Sus scrofa: one gene and its partners. The protein of the gene in region 2 interacts with the protein of the main gene of each other region in a pairwise test. Links are inferred from orthologs where the notes say so. Each region holds a gene or a part of one and is shown on either strand. Other genes may lie near its edges.

What was found.
Region 1: the proteins of EIF1AD (region 2) and GLYR1 interact in binary tests that used the Homo sapiens proteins (3 or more experiments, as listed by UniProt). The two-hybrid records come from large-scale screens. The link is inferred for Sus scrofa from reciprocal best matches to the Homo sapiens genes EIF1AD and GLYR1.
Region 3: the proteins of EIF1AD (region 2) and STAT1 interact in binary tests that used the Homo sapiens proteins (3 or more experiments, as listed by UniProt). The two-hybrid records come from large-scale screens. The link is inferred for Sus scrofa from reciprocal best matches to the Homo sapiens genes EIF1AD and STAT1.

What each region holds. Positions count from the first base shown.
Region 1 is NC_010445.4:37,552,682-37,560,307, forward strand, and holds the start of GLYR1 (putative oxidoreductase GLYR1), read left to right. Parts: upstream 1-2,675; 5' UTR 2,676-2,762; coding exon 2,763-2,800; intron 2,801-3,839; coding exon 3,840-3,876; intron 3,877-4,813; coding exon 4,814-4,893; intron 4,894-7,626. UniProt on the Homo sapiens protein: Cytokine-like nuclear factor with chromatin gene reader activity involved in chromatin modification and regulation of gene expression. Acts as a nucleosome-destabilizing factor that is recruited to genes during transcriptional activation.
Region 2 is NC_010444.4:6,331,745-6,339,243, reverse strand, and holds the start of EIF1AD (probable RNA-binding protein EIF1AD), read right to left. Parts: upstream 4,363-7,499; 5' UTR 3,536-4,362; intron 2,804-3,535; exon of another isoform or gene 2,780-2,803; 5' UTR 2,685-2,779; coding exon 2,598-2,684; intron 2,502-2,597; coding exon 2,393-2,501; intron 2,296-2,392; coding exon 2,187-2,295; intron 2,016-2,186; coding exon 1,965-2,015; intron 1,298-1,964; coding exon 1,153-1,297; 3' UTR 1-1,152. Other genes in the region: BANF1 (barrier-to-autointegration factor), read left to right, coding at 4,924-5,046, 5,267-5,413.
Region 3 is NC_010457.5:95,641,369-95,648,971, reverse strand, and holds the start of STAT1 (signal transducer and activator of transcription 1), read left to right. Parts: upstream 1-2,652; 5' UTR 2,653-2,859; intron 2,860-3,182; 5' UTR 3,183-3,324; intron 3,325-6,559; exon of another isoform or gene 6,560-6,579; 5' UTR 6,580-6,580; coding exon 6,581-6,708; intron 6,709-7,426; coding exon 7,427-7,571; intron 7,572-7,603. UniProt on the Homo sapiens protein: Signal transducer and transcription activator that mediates cellular responses to interferons (IFNs), cytokine KITLG/SCF and other cytokines and other growth factors.

The sequences.
Region 1 (7,626 bases), on a different chromosome or scaffold from region 2:
TGTAAGCTCACGCTTTAGAAGTGTGATGTATCTGAGAGAAAGAACAACCATATAAAACTTTGAATTCAGGTTAGAACATCTGAGGGAGTTTATTTATTTATTTTTTTTGTCTTTTGAGGGCCACACCCGCGGCATATGGAGCTTCCCAGGCTAGGGGTCCAATTGGGAGCTGTTGCCTCCGGCCCACGCCAGAGACACAGCAACTCCAGATCTGAGCCGAGTCTTCGACCTACACCACAGTTCACGGCCACGCCAGATCCTTAACCCACTGAGTGAGGCCAGGGATCTAACCCGAAAACCTCATGATTGCTGGCTGGATTTGTTTCCGCTGTGCCATGACGGGAACTCCAGAATTTAATTTTTAAAAAGAGTTCACTGGGGGTATTCAATTTGTTAAACTGGTGCCTTAATTGAAAATTTGTCAAAAATCAAATATATTTTTACATAAGCATTTTTAGATCTGTAAAAATAAAATTGTCAACAAAGATTAAAAGGCTTTTAAAAGCTAAGCACTTAAGATACTCAATTTTTTTTTCTTTTAAAATGGCTGCACTCATGGCATATGGAAGCTCCCAGGCTAGGGAATGAATCTGAGCCACAGCTGTGATCTATGCCACATATGCAGCAACTAGGGATTCTTCAACCCACTGCATCTGGCCTCTGAAGCAACCAGAGCGGCTGCAGTCGGAGTCTTAATCCACTGCACCAGAGTAGGAACTCCTGGATACTCAATTGCAATGAGCTGAGCATTTTAATGAGTTGAACATTATTCTAAATAAAAGCACAGTATTCTACAAACAAAACCACCCCTCTTAAAAAACCTCAACAGATGCTAACCCCAAAATAACAACTTCGTTCTGTACCTCAGGTTATACTCAGGAGTATTTTTTTGTTGTTACATACCCTCTTAATATTTTCAAACTGATTATTGGTAAAAATGTAGAAAAACTAACTGAATTTTGCATGCTGACTTTGTAATTAGTCTCTTCAATGAACTCTTACTTAATGGATTTCCCTTGCACTTTTCAAAATAGGCTGTCGAGTAACATTCACAGAAGAAAAATTTTGTCTCCTACTTTCCGAAAAAATACGTTTTATTTTTGTTTCATGTCTTGTTGCATTGGCTAGAACTGCCAGAATGTTAGACAATATATTCTTTGCCATGTTCCTGACTGTAATGGGAATGTCTCTAGGTCCAATGTGATGTTGATTTAAGATCTGTGTATTTTATGAAGTCATTAACGTACCCTTCGATTCCTCAAAAATTAAGTTAGGAAGGTGTGTTGAATTTTAGTGTTCCCTCTTGGAAACTTAAATACGCTTTAAATCATAGATTTGTATTTAAAACAACACAAAATAGTTACCAGTAAATGACACTTCCTGAAACTAGCTGATGGTACTTCAGCGAAACTGAATTCCAAAGAGAAACCAGGCTTCGGACAAGTCAGTTCGCTAAAAACTTCCCGTTTACACCCAGTCTCTGTATAACACGACACCTATGAGAGATGCCCGTGGACCTGCCACTCTTTCATGCAGGCGGTGACTCAAGAAAAGTCCCGGGTAAGTTAACACTTGACTTAGACTCCCTGGGTTCTCAAACTGAGATTGGAACCTTTTTAAAATGTTTTACATTCTATCTGCGATGGTGATATTTAGGCAGACGCTGTGCTAAACTGCTTGTTATTCAAGATTCCCCATTCAATGGTTTAGTTTGAACATACTGAAACTACGCTTAGCGTCTGCCTTCCTGTTGTCAAAACAGCCTGTTTCCAACTTCCCTAAAAGTGTCAAACCACAACAAAGCTTACGTGAGAGCCCAGTTCCCACAAAGACACGTACCTTTGTCCCCGGCGCGACGCAGGCTACGGCCCCGCGGGCCGCACTCGTTCCCCCGTGGCCGTCCTCATGCCGGCCCGGGAGCCCGGGCTGCCGCGCTGCTAGCGGCCGGCCACCGAGCCATGCCTCCCGGCGGTCGGCCGGCCCGCGCCACGGCCCATGGCCCGGTCCCCGCGCGCCCGGGGGGCCTCGCCGGCCGTGCCGACGCGCCGGCCCAGGAGGAAGCAGAGAGACGCCGGCTCCACGTCGGCCGGGCAACTTGGGACTTCGGGACGGGCAGCACTGCGCCCCAGGAGAACGTGCGACGCGGACGCAGGATCGGAGCCTCTCCCTGGACGCCGGCCGTTAGAAAGAGCGCTCCAAAGGACCTGTCCACCCTCCGAAGGACCTGTCCGCCCTCCGGGCGCGGCCGCGAAGAGCCCGTCGGGCGCGAGGCCCCGGGCGCGGGCGGAGGCTGGCTTCCAGGCCGCGCCGAAGTCCGTCAGGGCAGCTGCCGGCTCGGAGACGCGGGCGGCCCCGGGCCCGCGCAGGACTAACGGCCGTAACGGAAGCGCCGAGGGGGAGGGGCTGAAGGCCAGGGCCCTGGGGCGGAGCGGGCCGCAGGACCTGCTCCCTAGCTCGGGGACTCGCTCGCTCCGCCGGCCGCACCGTCGCCGCCGCCTCAGACCGCTGCGCTACGTTGTCACGAGCCGGAGGGAGGGGGAAGAAGCCGGGAGTCTCCGGGCTCCGGCGCGCGGAGACCGCGGCGCCCGGGTCACGTGCCGCTAGGCCGGCCTATGAGCCTGGGCGGGCGCGGTGACGTCAGAGCAGCGGCGTGTCCGGTTACGGTCAGCCCCCGTCACGTGACCGGGCTCACTCCAATGGGCGGCACCGGGACGACCTGATGTTCCCGGCTGCCCGTGCGCCGGCGGTGGTTGGGTGGTAAGATGGCGACTGTGAGTCTGCGGCTCGGCGATTTGGTGTGGTGAGTCCAGGCGGCCCGGGCCGAGTGATGTGCGCTGGGGAGTTGCCTCCCTGTGCGTGGGGTTCGCAGCCCGCCCCGGGGCTGCCTTTCTCTTCGCTTCAGGTGGCGGAGAGTGGGCGAGGCGGGGTGCGGGCGCTGGGAGCGACGCCGGGCGGAAGGGGCAGCCTGGCCCGGGGGGACTGAGGCCGAGGGTGGCCGCGGCGGACCCGGCTTTGAGCTGTGGAGAGGGCTGCGCACAGGACCCGGACTCCAGCGGCCACCGTTTGGGGAGTGCCCAGCGCCGCGCGGCTCCCGCGGACGCCCGGTCCTCGCCTCGGGGTCTGGTTGGGGCTCCCGGGAAAGCGGGAGAGCCGGGGAGCCTGCGGAGCCATCGCGTCCCAGCCTGCCCGTCGAAACCCGCCTTGCGATGGCACCGACCGGTGCGGGCGGCTCAGCCGGGAGTGTCGAAACCGGGCTGCTGGCACTGTCCTGTGAAGAAACGGAGTGGGGACTTCTCCTTTACAACTGGAGGTTTGGCAGGGACCAGTTTCTCCTTGGGTGCTTCCCCTGGTCTGCTTCTGTGTCCCAGACAACCGCCCGAACCAAGACTTACTGTCGCCGCCTCCCTCCAGCTGAGCTGCGTAGCTCATTTCTCAGTCTAGAGGAAGGATTTCCATTAGCATTTGTCAAAGCCGGGTTGGGGGATGAAACCAGACTTTGTAAGGGGAAGTCTGTGTTTACACAGCAGACCGTCCCGCCACCCTCGTCACGTCCCGGGGAGGTTCTGGACAAACGACTCTTGGTAGTTTTGTTTTTCTGTATCCCTTGTCACCGGAAGAATGCACACAAGTTTACAGTTTTGCATTGCATTTCTGAGGGGTTTGGGCCTCTTGGGCCCAGCTGTGGATGCCACAATAAGAACTTCTGGTTCCCAGCTTTTTCTATTCTGGCACTTGAGCGTCGAAGGGGAGATTTAGGAAAATAAATTGCATGTTGAGTGGGTTGAAGGAGACGGACTGGCCTTTCCAGGGCAAATGCTGACTCTTTGTGTTTTCTCTAGGGGGAAACTCGGCCGGTATCCTCCTTGGCCGGGAAAGGTGAGTGACTGGCGGACATCTGAAGTTGAGTTTGAGGAGGTGGAGAGTATAAGATGCAGTCCCTTGAATTCCTAACATTGAGTTTAACTGGGCCTATTTAAATAACATTGGAGAATTTTTTTTTCCTCCACTGTCAGTTTTTTTAGAAAAGGCAGTGTAATTTAAACCACGTCATTAAATCTACAGTATGTTATTGTTTCTTGAATCAGAGGTGGTTTGTGGAAAAGTCTTTTCATCCTGAAAATCCTTTCTAACTTGAATTTAGCTTTGCACATAAATCTAATAAATGGAGAAGAAAACAAATTTTCCAGTAAGAAAAATCTAAATGTAGGCTAGTGAAAAGTCAAAGTATTTTTGTCCCACTGAGTTTAAATCTTCTTTGCATTTTACCATATGTGCTGCTCCAGTGCATTGCAGAAGCTGGCATTCCACGTTTTGCACGAAGTGATCCTTCATAGCTTTCCAACCGATCTGTTTTTATATTCTTGTTTGGAGCCTAGGAAATGTCTTCAGACTCTTTGCAGTATGGCATTTTCAGTGTCTCGGTGTTGTCACTGTTACTTCATTGTCACTGTTGACCTGTCTGAACTCTTCCTGCACAGAGGTATTTTTAAGAGTGTTTTCTGCGTTTCTTCCATAATGACAGGGTCACATTACAGGAGGTAATGATGTTGGTCTGCTTTTAAAACAGGGCCGTTTTAGTAAAAGGGATATTGTATCTACTGAACACTGTGTTACATGACAGACACAGGGAACTTCTAGAATATTTGCACATTTCCACGTCTCAGTAGAAGAGTGCCAGATTTGGACATAAAATAGGCCCTGTGTTTGGTTTTGTTTTTTTAAGATGTATTTCTTTTGTGTTTTGTTTTTTCTTTCCCTTACCAACTTATAACTGTGGGGAAAAAAATTTGTTTTTCCCCCTTTTATTCCCTAGATTGTTAACCCACCCAAGGACTTAAAGAAACCACGTGGAAAGAAATGCTTCTTTGTAAAGTTTTTTGGAACAGAAGATCAGTGAGTAGTGCTCACCAAGAATTTCGCTTTCCCTTTGCTGTTTGGGCTTTGCCCCAGGTTGAAGCTGGTTGATTCTCGGGATCCTTGTTTAGTCTCATTGTAGTCCACAGAATGGCCATCATTCTGGCTTCATACCTAAATAAAAGGTGCTGTTCTTATCCCCGAGAAATTCTCTTGAGCAGCTATCCTGAGGCCGGTAACAATGGCAGTCAGGTGGGAAGTAGGGTTTGCCACCTTTTAAATATGATAATCTCATTGAGATCATTTCTCACGCTTGTTTTACCCGAACTCGGAACTCCACAGACAGTTCCATTATGAGGGTGTTTGGTTCTTTTTTAATGGCTGATTATCATTGTGGTTTAGGCATAAGGTAATGAATTATAATTATAAAAGTAATTGTTTGGTCTTGTTTTCGTGAAACTAGATGACTTGATTTAGCATTCTAACAGTAAAGCTTTTTAATCAGATTTGTCTCATATTTGAAATCAGAAGTATTGATTTGAGATTCTTTGATAGGCCATATAAGAAATCACTGTGGGGGTTCCCGGTTGTGGCTCAGTGGAAAATCTGACTAGCATCCATGAGGATGCAGGTTCCATCCCTGGCCTTGCTCATTGCGTTAAGGATCCGGCATTGCTGTGAGCTGTGGTGTAGGTCGAAGACAGTGGCTGGGATCCGGTGTGGCAGTGATGTGGGCCAGCAGCTACAGCTCCGATTTGACCCCTAGCCCGGGAACCTCTATATGCCGTGGGGACGGCCCTAAAAAGACAAAAAGAAAAAAAGAAAGAAATCACTGTGAAGGGAAGAAAATGTAATTGAGTTTCCAGTGATTTGTTTAGCTCTCATCTTAATTCCGTCAAGCTGATTACCTAGATGGTTTGATTTCTTTAAGTAGTTAGTTTTCTATTTATGGGTTTTTTTTTCTTCTTTTTAGGGCCATACCATGGTGCATGGAAGTTCCCAGGCTAGAGGTTCAGTAGGAGATACAGCTGCTGGCCACAGCTACAGCAGCGTGGGATCTGAACCTTGTCTGTGACCTACACCACAACTCACGGCAACACTGGATCCTTCACCCACTGAGTGAGGGCAGGGAAGCATCCTCATGGATCCTAGTCTGATTCATTTCTTCTGCTCCACAAGGGAACTCCTGTTTCTGTTTATGATTTTTATAGGAAAATGTTGTTTTGGGTTTGAAAAATATCTGTGGCTTTTCTGATAAATCCAACACTGATGGTTAAAATACACATTCTAGAAAGCGATATATAACATTCTGTGGGAAAATCTCTTACGGTCTTCTTTGCTGGCAAGTTTATGCATCAGAGGGCTCATCCTATTTAGAGTTTGCATGGCATGTCCCTTCAGCATGTACGTACACCAACATACGCAGCCCCAGTTCTTGTCACAAACCAATTTAGCTGCATTTTGGTGGCAATATTTCAAGGGAGTCGCTGGCCTGGAGCTGGGAGAGCCAGAAACAGTCTAGAAGAGAGAAGGTTCTGGCAATGCTATGGATTTCACAGGAAGATTGCCTGGATGCATAAAACAAATACTAATTTTGCAACCACACTGCGCATTGCTCGGCATAGAAGGGAGCTTCCAGAAAAGCAAATGTCATGGTCCTCATCTTCTAGGAACTCAAGGGGCAAGACATAAACCTTCCAGCTGGGATTGAGTGCAGAATGAGTGATGCATGGAATAAAGGCTTCTAGAATGAGAGATGAGTGGAGAACAGCTAGGTCAGAGAAGGCCGATGGAAGAGATGGGATTTGCATCAGACTAGAGGATGGATAGAGTTTGGATAGGCAGGAGTAGTAAGGGCTTTCCAGGCAGTGGGGCCACTGTGAGCTGCTGGCAGTTCAGTTGCGTGTGTGGACAGAGCGCCTTCCTGCCTGAGGTAAAGAACTTGTGCTTGGGGTGAACAGAGGCGACATAGTCAGCCTGGCTTGGGGGGCCAAAGTCTGAAACACAAAGGAGAACCCACAGAAAGCAGGCAGTTAGGTTACAGGAGGCTGGAAAGCCGTGATGTCTTCATGATAATTTTTTAAATGCTGGAAGGCTAGAGGGATAAGCCTTAGTCCCGGTGTATGTATGAGAAATACTGCGTGTGAGTAGGACCCAGAGTTGGATCTGAGTGAATCTCAGCACTCAGGCACTCAACCAGGCAAACCGGTGGAGCTGGTGAAAAGGATGTACCCACTGAACACACGAAACATGCGGTGGTGGTGGTGGTGATGTGATTTCTAACTGAAGTTCTTCGAGGAGATCTGTGAGCAAGTGGATACACGGCAACTTCTAGGCAATATCTTTAGCCTTTAAATCTCCTTGATAGAGTTCCATATTTAAAAAAAAAAAAACATTTAAAAATGAAGTCACCATAGGACTGACGTGTGAACTTTTTGTTGCTAAGCAGTTGCCTTAGTGAGAGGAAACAGAGGATAAGGATGTGCAGCACTTCTCCAAAGGGAGAAGGGTTCTTAGAGATCGGTGTTCAGACTTTATTTAGAATCTGTTTATTATCTGAGGGCGAAATCTCCAGATTGTTCGATAAACTTTGGTGAAGGAGCTCTGGATTTGTTACCAGCGTGGTGGGCGTTCAGATATCCGTGTCACTTGTCCTGTGATTTGAACTCTTGGACTTTTCTAAGCCTCTGTGTCCTCATCCACATGTGGGGATAACACTCCTTACCTGGTGGTTATGAAGAAGGAGCTTCACTTAATGGGTTGTGTTGGTTG
Region 2 (7,499 bases):
GGAGGGGAGACAGGAGAATGATGGTGAGAATGTTGCAGGGCCGGAGGACGAAAAAGAATTTCTGCAGAGGAAGTAGCTGAGCGGGTAAGCAAGAAAGCCAGGAGGTGGCGCCGGCACTGGTGTTTCGATTCAAATGGCACTGCAACTTCTAGTAATGTCAGGGGTCCGGAGTGACCAGGGATACAGGAAACAGGCCTAGAATAGAAGACAAGGGCACTAGTGACGGGGAGATCAAGGAACGAGGGGGCCATGGTGTGGAACAGCCCACCCATGGGATGCAGAAAACAGTATCAGAGGCAGGGGTAGAAGACTCCAAGCCAGGAGGTAAACCTCTATGTCTGAGCAGTGACTAAAAGGTCAATGCCAGCGAAGAGGAGAGAGAATGTACAGTCAGAGGGAAAAACCTTCCAAGGAGAAATGGGATGATGTGGTTTGCAAGGGGACTGAGCAGTGATGGTTGGAGTAGCCAAAGAAACCACCAACCAGGAGACGTACACAGCAGCAGGGAAGTGGGCACTCCTGCATCATGTGACTAGAAAGCCGGGGAAAGCAGCTTGCGAGGCACTGTGAAACTCTCCCTGAGTGTCTCTTGGAGGCAGGTGGGCACCAAGTCCCACTGTGATCCTGAATGCCTACACTGCCATTAACTGCAAGCAGGCAATGGGGGAAGGGGACACTCCCAGTTCTTAAGCACATGCAGGCCTGGCACTTACTAAGAGCCCAGTGAGCGGAGGAAACCTAGGAAAGATTCCAGCCATTCCTGCCCATGAGGTTACCACCAAAGAGCAGTTTGGGTTTTTTCGGCTTTGCCCGCAACAAGCTGAAGTTCCCAGGCCAGGGATCAAAGTCGCCCAACAGCCGTGATTTGGGCCACAGAAGTGAGGTCCGATTCTTAACCAGCTAGGCCATCAGAGAACTCCCAAAGGGGCCGTTTTTACCCACATGTCCCTCCTCCCTCCAGAGAGCCACTCTGACACCAGCTTAAGTCACCACCCACCAGGGGTTTAATTCTCCCATGTCAGAAGGTCAGTTCAGAGAGGGGCCCTGCCTTGTCCCCATCCAGGGGGAAAGATCTGCAAAGCACCCTGGGAATGTCCAAGCTCAGAGGATCCAAGGGCGAGTCTCAGCCAGAGGAGAAGTGGGTCCGGGGTCTCAGGCTGCCTCCTCCTCTTCGCTCTCCTCCTCACTCTCATGATACTGTCTGCGGTTGGTGTTAACAAAAAGGTCAGAATCATCTTCAGAGCTGGACTTGTCTTCTGACAACCGTGGCTCAGCTGGGAGTTCTGGCTGAGTCTGTCTGCGTGAGGGAAATGGACAGAGTTAGCCCAATGCCTTCTAGGAAAACCAGACCTTCTATCAAGGAGCGCCACAAAAAGGAGGACCATGTGGCTTGATGAGTCAAACAGGGAGCGAATCAGAGCGAAACAGGCTAATAACTACCTCTCCACCCCCAAGCCTAAATAAAGGTTTCTAGAGCTACTAATATACATACATACACATATTCTTTGGCTGCATCTGCAGCATTTGGACGTTCCTGGGCCAGGAATGGAACATAAGCCGTTAGAGTGACAACGCTGGATCCTTAACCTCCTGTACCACCAAGAAACTCCTAGAGCTACTAATTTTAATAATATCAACTCCAACTAACACTCAATGAACCCACGTTGCTTACCAGATAGTATACTAAGCACTTTTAGAACCAACAGCCTCTGTAATTCTTACAAAGCTCCCATTTTTACAGGCAATGACATCAGGCTTAAGAGATTAACCTGCTTAAAGTTACTCAGAACTGACAAAGCCAGGATTTGAAGAAGACATGACTTTCCAGCCATGTGCATAACCACATATGTAAAAGCGCTTGCCACGGCCCCTGCATAGGAAGGGAGGAAGGCTCTATTTTCCCTCAGGGCACCACAGCCAGAAGCCCCATTTTCTGGCTTCCTGCTCTGAGACTTGTGCCTCACCTGTTACTGTTATCATCGTGTTTCTCAGCCACTTCGGAGAAGGCCTGTGGCCTGTGCCAAGAGAAGAGCCAAGGTCAGAAAGGACAGAGAAACCTCTGGGCAAAAAAGCTATTTCCAGCTGATCCAGCCTGGGACACTGGGACCTCCCCTCCCCCCAATTCCAGTGCTAGGAAGTCGGTCCCTCAGAAGCCATGCAGCCAGTGACCAAGGGGCTCACCCTACCAGAGCCCTTCCTTCTGTAGAGCGCGCACATGATTTCTGCAGAGCACAAAGGAGATCTCGGCCTTCACTTTCTCTCCCTCTTCAATAGGGTCAACAATGAGAAAGTCCCCTACAGACAGAGAAAAGGAAAAGGGAAGTCAGCCCTGCTGGCAGAGAGGGAAGCCAAGGCTATCAGAATTGGTCTCCTAAAGGGCTGCCTCTCTCACCTCTCTTGATCCAGATGTTCTTGCGGTATTTGGAGGGCATGCTCACCAGGAAGTGCTGCCCCTGGGCTGTCTCCACCTCATGCAGATTGTTCCCTGGGGTCCTGAGCACCTGGTCCAGAAGAGACCAAGTACCAGTCAGCATTATCAGCCAGCTGCAACCCTTGCTGAGCTACAGTCACCCTGTCCCCACCCCAGTGCCACTCACCCTGACGATCTGCTGCCGGTCGGAGGGCACCATGTGCTCCCCCAGCACCTCCTTCACCACGTGCTTCCTCTTGGTGGCCTGAGACATGTTGTTGGGTCCTGTCCCAGGGTGGGGGTGAGGGATGCAGAGACTGTCAGCTCCTCTCCCTGAGTTTCTTGGATGGCAGTCTCAGAAGGACTATTCTAAAGATGGGGAGGGACCTTTTACTGGGGAGGACACAGTGTCAGGTTAAGGAGAACTACTTGCATTCAAATCCCACCTTGGGTATTTCATGACTGTTCAATTTCTCTAGACTTCAGAGAAAAACAATAGCTAACTTAGAGCACTGCTCTAAGAATGAGCATAAGCAAAGCACTTAGCACTGTAAAGCACGTAAAAACAACTCGTGTGACAAGAGTTCTCCTGTGGCATAGCAGGTTAAGGATCTGGCATTCTCACTGCAGGGGCTCAGGTTGCTGCTGTGGCACAGAATCAATCTCTGAGCCGGGAACTTCCATGTGCTGCAGGCACGGCCAAAACAAATAAACAAATTTAAAAATACAACGGTAAAAACTAAACACGGGTTTCAGGAAAACAAGTCATTCTGGCAACCAGGGGGAGAAAGAATCACATAAACTCTTCTTCGGTATGCCTGTACATCCCAAGCGTAGCACAGCCACACAAACAGATGCTCAATCTCTCAACATACCACAGACATGGACCAGGGAGAAGAATTCAAGTTAGGAACAAGTTAACTAAGGTCAGGGCCGGCCGACATGGTCTTTGGCATCTGCTGTTTATGATTTGGGTACTGAGAAGACGAGGACTGATGCGCACACAGAAGACGGCCGGTTTCCAAAGGAAACGCCGAAGTGTCATCTCTAGTTGCCGTCCCCTGCCTGCCCTCCTCCCTTCCTACCCCGAAGGAAAGACGCTCAGTGAGAGAAACCCAAACTTACTCTCTGGCCCTCGGATCCCACGGGCGATGCCTGAAGCGGAACGACCCCGTTCTCCAGGCTGGACGCTGAACACGTCTCGTCAACGACTCGCTTTGTAGCTGAGTCAACGAGCGCACAGAAAATGGACTTGCCGGCGGTCGCGCCGGTGAAGACCCCTTGGACTCAAGTCTCTTACAAGCCGGACGGCGAGGAAGACAGCACGCGCCGGCCCGAGGAAACCCCTTACTTCCGGCGCTCTCTCGGAAGCCTCCCAGCCACACCTCCCTCCTTGTCCGCTCCTCTAATTCTTCCCACCACCAAGTAGGCCACGTTTAATCCTTAAGTTCCAAATGTCGCGCCGCCGAGAAATAAAGTTTTCTCCTCCCAGGCCTCTGCTCCCTCAGACCGGAAATATTTCCCGAGCAGTGAGACCACAGAAAGCTGCCCGGCTTCCCGCAAAGCAACCGGAAAGGAGCGCCTCCTAAACGCACGCTGGCGCGCCGCCCCCTCAACCCCGGCCCAATCTCAACTCTATGACTTCACGCGGCTAGAGGTGCCCAATGTAATTTTGGGTTTTTTTTTAAGGCGGCTCTTGAGGCGACCCGGAAGCGGAAGTGGGGCGAAAGTTCTAGCGGGTCGAGGCATCCGCAGGAGCGGCCGGGTGGCGGGAGAGGCCGTTACGGGAACCGGAGCTGCGGGTGAGTGCGAGCCGCGGTGCAGGGCCCAAGCTGGAGACTGGCGGAGGCGCGGGGAAGAGAAGGGGAAAGGCGCCTCAAGCACTGCGGCGGGCCAGAGGATGCGCCCTCGGAGAGGGATCGGCCGGGGCGCGGCGCGCGAGCGCAGAGGCGCGGGGAGGGGGCGGGGCGCGGCGCGCTGGGGGCGGGGCCGGCGGCGTGGGGCGCGGCGGGAGCCCTGGCGTGCAGCCCGCCGGGCTGGAGAAGCCGCTTCGCTTCTGCTTTGTGATTAGCTGGCGGGCCGGGTGGGACAGAGTCCTTCATTTGCTTTACGGGCCAGGTAGCCGTTGCAGGCAGGGTCAGTGCCACTTGGGCCCAGCCAAGGTCACCGAGGAGTGACAATTTCAGGGCGAGCCCTGGGTCCTGACAGACTCTTGGAATCTTGACTCTGCTCTGCGTGCGCCACCTGTTAGAGCAAGATAGTGTTGCCTCTGGGGTGGTACCGAAACCAGCTCCTGCAAGGAGTGGAAGAGATTTCTCTTTTGAATAGTGAGGAAAAGACTCCTTAGGCTTCGCTTTTTTCGTCCGTGAAGTGGGGGGAGAAGCGAGTAAGCTTCTGCGATGACTGGTCGAGCGTCCTCTTAACTGTGAGATTGGTAGTGGGCCCTCAGGAGTTCCCGGGTTTTCAGCCCTAACCTGCCTTTTCTTGGGATTCTCAGGTTAAGCTTGATCAAGATGACAACTTCCCAAAAGCACCGAGATTTCGTGGCAGAGCCCATGGGGGAAAAGCCAGTGGGAAGCCTGGCCGGGATTGGTGACGTACTGGGCAAGAAGCTGGAGGAAAGGGGCTTTGACAAGGTGTGGGGTGGCTGCGTGCAGCTGGGGAGGGCTGAGGATGGCCTGCTGGGCTCTTTCCTGGCAGTTGGGGCGGGAGGAGAGTGAGTGGACCCGTTGGGGGTGGGCAGTGGCATGTATTCTGCAGGGCTAGCCAGAGCCGGCCCTGCTTCCTAGGCTGAGGGCCTCGTTCCTGGTCCGCAGAGCACCTAGCAGCATGCCCTTCCCTCTGCCTGTCTTGCAGGCCTATGTGGTCCTTGGCCAGTTTCTGGTGCTCAAGAAAGATGAAGACCTCTTCCGGGAATGGCTGAAGGACACGTGTGGCGCCAATGCCAAGCAGTCGCGGGACTGCTTCGGGTGCCTCCGGGAGTGGTGTGATGCCTTCTTGTGATGCCCTCCGGGGAGCCCCCGACCCCAAGCCCCAGCATTGAGTCTCCAGAGTTTGCAGCCAAGCCAGGACTCCTCCCCCATCCTCTACAAAGGAAAAGATTGCTGTTGTGTGCACTTCCAACGTACTCCAGCATCTTTTGGGAGTTCTCTCCCCTCACCATGTCACCTTTTTTGGAATTCTCACACTTGCATGCATCTCCCTTCTCCTTTCCTTGCCAGTTTCATGTCAGCAATTACCAGCTTTTCTGAGTGAATTCCTGGTCCTGGCCCTTACCCCTACCCTCACTTCTGATCTGTTTTATGCCATGTTTGGCCCTCTTTTTGGCAGAACAGTTCCTGTCCTTGTAAAGTTTTCTAAATCAATAAAGTCAGTGGCCTTCATGCCTGGGCTCTGTCCATGGAAAGCAGGTGGGCTGGGAGCTCCCTGTTCCCCAGGGCCCGGCCAGGTTTGCCACACTCCTTATCAGTGCACGTCGAAACCGGCAGCTTCTGGCTCCAGAGGGCAGCCATCCTGGCCACGTGGGCCTTGGGCCAGGTGCCTCGGAGTGTCTCAATCCCTTAGTGATGTGGGAGAGGGTGTGGGTTGATCCCTTCCTGGGGTCCAGGTGGGCTGGGGTGTTCCAGATGTCAGCGTGGTCAGCTGGGCTAGGCAGCACCTGGTGGAAGACAGTTGGAGTCAGCGCTGCCAGGAAAAGGGTGGACCAGATGTGGGCGAGGGTTTACCTGATAATCGTCATGTGCTCTCCTGGCCTCCGGTAGGAGTGGACAGGGTTTTTGCAATCTGCCCTGTTCTCTTAGGCTTAGGCGGGAGCAGCGGGGGTGTGGGTGGGTGAATTTTTCTCAGCTTTACAGTCTAGTGAAGAGAGAAGTGACAGGTGATAAATACAGAAATTCAGGTAATGTGAGTTAGGCTTCTATTTGGTGCATATTTGTCCTGTTCTGTGTTTTTTTGTTTCTGTCTTTTAGGGCCACACCCATGGCATATGGACATTCCCAGGCTAGTAGTTGAATCCGAGCTACAGCTGCCAGTCTACACAACAGCTCATGGTAACGCAGGATCCTTAACCCACTGAGTGAAGCCAGGGACTGAACCCACAGCCTCATGGCTACCAGTTGGGTTTGTTACCGCTGAGTCACAGTGGGAACTCTGACCTGTTAGTTGTTGATTGTTTAAGGTGAACGGGGTCTACAGCTAAGATCTTTGCAGATTTTTTTTTTTTTTTTTAACGCCACGCTTGTGGCATATGAAAGTTCCCAGGCCAGGAGTCGAATCAAAGCTATAGCCAGCCTACACCACAGCCACTGCAACATTGGTTCCAAGCCACATCTGTGACCTACACTGCAGCTTGTAGTGTTGGATCCTTAACCTACTGAGCCACAACAGGAACTCCTGCAGATTTTTTTCCTTTTAAAATAACAAACAGTTATTTCTCTTTCACTGGCAGGGAAACTAGAGGCTCAGAGAGGCTGAGAAACCTGTGTGGATTTACCTCTAGGAAGCAGCCAGAGTGGTCTTCAGAACGTAGTGTAAAAACTCATGAACACTGAGAGTCCTGGCCTTTCCGAGACTCAGTTTTCCCACCTGGAGATGAGGTCGTAAGGATCAGATGCAGTGCTGGCATCTTTGAGGAACTACTTGCTTACAGAATTTTTCTCAGCTTTACAGTCTAGTGAAGAGAGAAATGACAGGTGATAAATACAGAAATTGAGGTAATGTGAGATTTCCATGGTTTCAGGGTAGGGAAAGATTTCAAAAAGTTGGTGAATTTAGCTCTATTATAGAGAAACTGCTCATCTAAAGTTCCCTCAAGGTACCTTTATTTTTTATTATTTATTTATTTATTTATTTTTTTGTCTTTTTGCTGTTTCTTGGGCCGCTCCTGTGGCATATGGAGGTTCCCAGGCTAGGGGTCGAATCAGAGCTGTAGCCACCGGCCTACACCAGAGCCACAGCAATGCGGGATCTGAGCCGCGTCTGCAACCTACACCACAGCTCACGGCAATGCCAGATCGTTAACCCACTGAGCAAGGGCAGGGACCAAACCCACAACCTCATGGTTCCCAGTCGGATTCATGAACCACTGCAC
Region 3 (7,603 bases), on a different chromosome or scaffold from region 2:
CCGTGAAGGCTTCGGGGAGGGACCTGCACGCGGGGCAGGCAGCCAGCGGGAAAACCCCGGGCCTGCGCCTGCGTACTGCTCCCTCTTGGTCTCTCCTACTTTCGCTTTTCGGTTTCCTCTCAATCCAATGCCTTCTCGCTCCCGGGCTGTTTCTCCGAAAACACGTGGGGCGGCTCTTCCGAGCATCCACGTCCCTCCCGCCGCGCGCCGGCCCAGCTGTTCGGAAACTTGACAACCTGACGATCTCCATCTGCTGGAGGGTAGCCCATCCTGGGCAGACACGGGCTGCTGTTCTGAAAACAAAGGACTTCAAAAGGTGTTCGTGAAGGTGTTTGGATGTCGAAAGTCATGCTCCTAGCAGACATTTTTGGGAGGAAAAGAAAAAAAAAAAAACAAGAAAAAAGAAAATCATAAAAAGTAACCCAACACCCCAAAACATGTTAGGGACATTCTGTAGAGGATCCAGACTAGCAGGCAAAGTTTGTGTTTATCATAAATGCAATGAGAATTGCCAAGACTTGCGCAGGCAAGGACTGTATAAGTATAGTGCTTTAGAGAATTTAATCTGGCAAATACAGAGAAGGGGAAAGAAACAGGGAAAAGGTAGTGTGACCGTTGTCTGTTGCAGCATTCCAGTTCTGAAGTAATGAAGGCCTACAGTGGGGTATTGTCACTGATGGGAAAGCTAAGAAGGATAAAAGCATAGGGAAGGAAGACTCCATAGAACTAGAGGACATCCAGAATGTGGCGATCCAAAGAGAAACATTCTTTTTGCAGATGTTAAGATTATTTAATTCCCCTGTTGGTACTGAAGGTAGTTTCTGTGCACAAAAACAAAAACAAAACCACAGAAGCAATGTGTTTAATATGTTATCTACTCTTCCTAGAGTCAGCTTTTCTCAAACATTGTTTGAGCCCCTAGTGCAGGTAAGTAGAACTGGAAGGGCTTTATTTATTTTTTTTTTTTGGTGGCCTAGCATCCATTTTCACAGAAGGCTGCTACTTAAATACCAATGGTCATTGCTATCACCAGTTCAGCACTGCCTTTGTGTGGGTGAATATGTGACAAGAAGAAGGAGCATATAGATGTGAAAAGGGAAAAAAACACTGTAAGAGGAACACATATAAGCCCACCTCTCGGAAATTATTTAGATCCTTTTCCTACCCAAAGTTGCTTTATTTTTCTAGGTTGATTCAAGCCTCATCTTCTTGGAGAAATCAATTGTTTTTATGGGCCACACATTCTAAGAAGACCTAATCTAGGCTGGCCTCAGGGATTCCTACCTGGGGAAGTGACTTTTAAGCTTAGGTTTTAGCTAAGACATAAAAGATGAGTAGCTAGCAAAAAAGTTGGGGGAGGGGGATATTGGCTTAAGGGGCTTTCCAAATGGAGAACTGCTGGTGAGAAGGTTCTGAGTTTGGGGAAAGAGCTTGTCTTATTTGAAGAACAAAACTGCTGAGATAAGGGAAGAGTGGCACAAGACGGGGTTAAAGAAAGTGACAGGGGACCAGGGCTTTGTAGGCTACGTTAAGAAATTTGGATTTTATAAGAAAAGCCATCAGAGGATTTTCAGGTTGGCAACATGCGATGTGCTTTGCAAAAAACACACACACAAAAAAACCAACCCACCGGAGCTGCTGTAGGGAGAACTAATTAAAAGGGAGTTAAGAACTGGAGTGAGGCAGCCATTTGAGGGCTGAAACGAATCCAAGTCTACTGAAAGAATCCAAACTGGGGTGGGGGAAACAGCATAGGAAATAGCAAGAAGTGATGAGACATTTAGGTGGAAGAATCAAGGAGGCTTGAGGGCCGGTGTGAGGGCTGAGAAGGCAGTGTCAAAGGTAGTTCCTAGTTATCTGGCATACACCATTTCTAGAAAAAGGGCAGGTTTGAGGAGGAAGATGATGAGTTGGTTCTGAACATAACTAGGTTGCAGAGCTTACCAGACATCTAAGTGGAGAGTCAAGTGCAGGCTGTACGCGTAGATGTGGAGCTCTGAAGGAGAGGTGTGGACAAGGTACACACGCAGAAGTTGTCCATATCTAAGAAGGACATGGAAGCTGTGAATGAGGTCATCACAGGAGAGCGTGAGAAGTGTAGGTAAAGTAAACCAAGATCTGGACCCTGACAACACTTAAGTTTGAACAGTTTGGTGGTGGAGATGGAGCAGAGATGGAGAAAGCATACTAGAGAGAGAGAGGAAGAAACAAAGACGTGTCGTCATCGTGGCCAAGGACGAAGTGTTAAAGAATGGAGGGGTCAACTGTGCCTAAGTTTCCTGAGTGGTCAGGTGAAGACAGAAAAGTGTCCCCTGGGTTTAGCAACATGTCAGCTGCTAAACTGACCTTCTACAATGACAAAATCTACACCTGTGTCGTCTGTCTTAGGTTCTTAGGATTGGGGCTAATATAACGATCTTAAAGTTTGGGCAGAGGCAAACACTGAACTTCCTGTTCTCTAAAATATGTGTAAATATAACCCGCAATTTACATCACGGAGCGAAGCTTCCCGTTCTCTACCAGAGAGCCCCGCCCAAAGGCTACGGACCGACCCTTCGGGTTGGCTGAACAGCGGCACCCCTGGGGGGGGGGGTGGCGCGAGCGCGGAACAGCCGCATCTGATTGGTCGAGAGAGGTAGCCTCTGGGTGATTGGCGGGAGCGGAAGGAGGTGGGGCGTCTGGCGCTGCCTTTTCTCCCAGCAGGTACTTTCGTTTTCCAGCGTTGGGTTTGCGGAGAGACCCAGCCACACCAAGAAGGACGCTTGTCAGACCCTCAGATGGGACAGAGGTGACTCGGCGCTCCCGGGAGAGGTTGCACGGCCGCTCCCCGTCCCGTCCCTGCGGGATCCAGAGTACAGAGTGAGTGGGCGTGTGAGGTTCCTGGTGTCGGGGCGGGAAGTGACTGGACTGGCGTCGTCTAGGACCTGGAGCCGGACGCCGGGCGAGGGCGGATTTTTAAGTGCTGACAGATTTAATCCGAAATCAGGGAAAGAACACATAATCTCAGGTGCTCGTTCTCGGTGATAGTAAGGTTGCCCCAGCCAGTCGTTCTCTGGCAGTAGAAAATGTCTTGTAAGATAGAATCCCCCCCGCCCCCGGAAACACTGCATTTTCCCATTTACTCTCGTTTTCCCCTCCTTCCTGCCCCTTTCCACCACAGTCACGTTTTCTTCTTTCTGCAGAAAGTTTTTGTTTGCGTGTGCCACCCCCAGAGAGCTAAGACGCTCGCACCCTGTGCATGCAAAACAGTCTTGGCTTCTGACGTGCTGTGTGTAGCCGCTGCTTGTGTGAATCATCAGCCCTTTGCTTGGGCACAAGGTGAAGGTTAGTAAATGTTCATGGAAACTAATAAATGAGTACATGGCTTCGGGACTTAATTATATATCTACGTTTAAAGGTAAAAGAGCTTAATTTGCTCTTGGAATGTAAAAGTGATAGTTCTGCAGACCTCCGAATAATAATTAGTCTTTAAAAAAATTCTAACTAATATCAAAGAGCTTGGGGGAAGAAAAATAAGTGTATGATTGCGCTTTGAATGTCGTTTTTATAAGTTGGATAGGTTGTTTTTATGGTTCAGGAATAAGACATGAGCTACCAGCATACTCCAGTTTGCAGTTTGGTGCAGGACTCAGATTTGTTGAATCATAATATGATTTTCCCTTTACTTTCTAATTCAATCTGAAATGTGTTGAATTTCAATTCAACAAACTGTCGAATACATACTATGTGCAGGACACTCTCCAAAGTGGAGATGACTTTTTTTTTAAAGACATAATTCCAGAAACCCAGGGTAGACATCACAGAGCTTTTTAAGGGAGAGAGTGACTGATGCTCTAATGGAGGTACAAAATGCAGTGAGGCGTAAAGTCAATGAAAGCTTAATTGTTTCTAGGTAAGTGTCAAATAGCTTATGGAAGAAGGGCATTTGTACCTACTTTTGGATGCTGGTAGAATTTAGAAAAGCAGAAATTTGTGAGGAAGCTCCTTTAAAGGGTGAGTGACAACTGGAGCAAAGCAGAAATGTTGAGCATAGCCAAAAAAAAACAAAAAACAAAAAACAGTAACAAAAAAGTAGGTAATTTGGTCACTGGGTTGCTTTATTAAAGGATGAAAATAGGGTGAGGGTGGAAATCAGCCTGGTAATGGGGCAAACTAGCAATTTGGAGCAAGAGAGGGATGTGGCCAAAACCCATGTCAGCAGAAGACTAGCTGGGGAAATAGTGTTGGAGGCAGGGAGGAAGGAGACCTTGGGACTGGAGAGGAGGAAGTCAGGTGATTGGAGGATAGTCTTGCTACTCCCTATGTTGGTAACAAGTTTAGTGGGAAGATAGGGTGGATTTGGGATTTGTTAGCATGAATTTATTGATTGCTGGCCTTGTGCCAGGTGCTGTGTCTGTATTACCTCATTCAGTCTTAACAGCCAACCTGGTGATAGGGATGGGAGTCACCTGTGGTCACTCACCCAAAAAGGTGTTGTAGCTCCTGCTGGTTGACATTCTGGCCAGTATATTTGCGTTAGGCATATCCGTATTAGACACCTAGTAGGGAAGGAAAGTGCTGCAGATTTAGAGTCTTCTGCTCAGGTGAAATAAATTTGAAGTGAAAAATCAAATTGCTGCAGCAAGTGTACCAAAGGAGTGGACTTGGGTCCATTTTTGCTGGTATTTTGTGATGGTAACTAGCTTTGCAGTCCTACCACATCCTTTCCTTTCTTTGGAAGGAAATTTGTGGCATAGACATGGCTTCATGTCTTCATGCCCGCACCTGTGTGCTTGCTGCAGCATGCACACACGCTTTCATGCCCTGCTGTAATTTTAAAAATCCAGACCCCTTCCCCAGAGGCCTGGTAGGACACGATTCACTTATACTCGTTCTGAATATTGTCAGCTGTGTGCTTATGTAAATCCTAATTTATGCTCTGGTGAAGGGAGGTTCTTCGTTTTCCTTGTGAATATTAGGACTTCTTAAAATCAGGTTTTTGTTTTAATTTTTTTATCTTCAAAACTGCCATGTAGGAGTTCCCATCGTGGCTCAGCAGAAATGAATCTGAGTAGCATCCATGAGGATGCAAGTTCGATCCCTGGCCTCACTCAGTGGGCTAAGGATCTGGCGTTGCCATGAGCTGTGGTGTAGGTTGTAGATGTGGCTCAGATCTGTCCTGACTGTGGCTGTGGTGGTAGGCCAGTGGCTACAGCTTCCTGCGATTGAGTCCGCACGGGGTTGACCAGGTGTCCCGGCTGACTCGGTCACTGGGATTGAGTCTGCACGGGGTCAACCAGTTGACGTACACCATAGCTCATGGCAATGCCAGATCTTTAACCCACTGAGTGAGGCCAAGGATCAAACTCACATTCTCACAGATGCTGTGTGGGGTTCTTAAACCCCTGAGCCACAATGGGAGTTCCCTATGAGAGCAATTTTTAAAGAGGTGTTACTTGTCCTAAAGCAAATCTAATTAGTATTTCTCATTTGTTTATTCGATAAAAGTGCAGATTCATTTTAAAGGCAGGTGAACGCCTACTATGTCTAGCACTGTTCTGAAGATACAGCAGTGAACAAAGCCATCCCTCCCTACCCCCCTCCACCACCAAACCTGCCTTCGTGTGGGGAGAACAGACAGTAATCAAAATAGAAAAGAGAATACATGCTAGGTCAGATAGTGGTAAGGGCAGTGGAGAAAAATACGTCAGGAAGGAGGGATACTGTTTTCCAGGGTGAGAGGTGGTGTCGATTTAAGGAAAGTGGTCAGAGAAGGCTTCCCTGATATGTTGGCTTTTGAGCAAAATCTGAGAATGTGTTTTTTGGAGAAGAAAAAAATACCGACCCCAAACTCAATTAAAAAACAGGCTTTGGAATATAAACACCATTTTAAAAGTATGTTTCAGGAGTTCCTATCGTGGCACAGTGGAAATGAATCCGACGAGGAACCGTGAGGTTGCAAGTTTGATCCTTGGCCTCACTCAGTGGGTTAAGGATCTGGCATTGCCATGAGCTCTGGTGTAGGTCGCAGATGCGGCTCGGATCGTGCATTGCTGTGGCTGTGGTGTAGGCTGGTGGCTACAGCTCTGATTTGACCCCTAGCCTGGGAACCTCCATATATCACGGGTGAAGCCCCAAAAAGACAAAAAAAAAAAAAGTATATTTCAGAAACAAATTATGTTTTGAACTAAGCGAGATATTTATTTTTATTTTATTTTATTTTATTTATTTATTTATTTTTTTTGTCTTTTTTTTTGTTGTTGTTGTTGCTATTTCTTGGGCTGCTTCCACGGCATATGGAGGTTCCCAGGCTAGGGGTTGAATCGGAGCTGTAGCCACCGGCCTACGCCAGAGCCACAGCAACTCGGGATCCGAGCCGCGTCTGCAACCTACACCACAGCTCACAGCAACGCCGGATCGTTAACCCACTGAGCAAGGGCAGGGATCGAACCCGCAACCTCATGGTACCTAGTCGGATTCGTTAACCACTGCGCCACGACGGAAACTCCTAAGCGAGATATTTAGAAGCAGCACAATGCTGGACGGCTTTCTTTGGCGCTGTGGGCTTCCTTTCGTGATCTTTGTTCTGTTTCCCTATAGGATGTCCCAGTGGTATGAGCTTCAGCAGCTTGACTCCAAATTCCTGGAGCAGGTTCATCAGCTCTACGATGACAGTTTTCCCATGGAAATCAGACAATATCTGGCACAGTGGCTAGAAAATCAGGACTGGTAAGGAAATCACTTGACAGAAGAAGTTGTTTTTCTACACTTTGAAAATGACTTGTGGATTGAGTAACTTGGAGCCATGTTGATTGGAAGATGAATCTCACCGGTAGCTACTGGGAACATCTGTTGCAGAAAAGTGTGTTGGCTTGAGAAATGGCACCGGTCTCTATAAAGCTAAATGCATTAGTTGTTAATTTTATGTATTTGTTGATTTAGTTATAAATCCTCCTAAATACTTTGGACAAGTTAGATAATGCTAATACTAATTATTTTGAAAGAAAAAAGAAAGAAATTAGTGGAAATAATTAAAGCCAAGTTATGGGAAAACACTGATTAGAAGTATGAAGAAGGTAATACAGTTAAAGAAATATCTCTTAAAACCGATATGGTTTTGTTTTGAATTGAATTGTATTGTTCATTCATTGCAAATGTTTCAAATGTTCTGAAAGTGTTCGATATAGAAAGCGAAAGCCCCTGTTGGTTTTTCACTCCAGAGATAATCAGCGTTAACAGTCTTGGTGCTAGAATTTTTCATGGTAATTGAATATAATGGAAATATTGTACAAACTCTTGCCAAAAGCATTGGCAGTTTCAAAGAAAGAAATAAAACCCAAGAAAATACCTTATTTTTTAATAATTTCAGAACAGAAAGCAATGTCTGCTTTTGTGTGTTTTTTTAAAGTAGTATCTAAATGAAGTGTGTAAAATTTGAATCTCCTAGGGAGCACGCTGCCAATGATGTTTCGTTTGCCACCATCCGTTTTCATGACCTTCTGTCGCAGCTGGATGATCAGTACAGTCGATTTTCCTTGGAGAATAATTTTTTGTTGCAGCATAACATTAGGAAAAGCAAGCGTAACCTTCAGGTATTACTTGGTTTTTGCATTTTAGTTGAAAT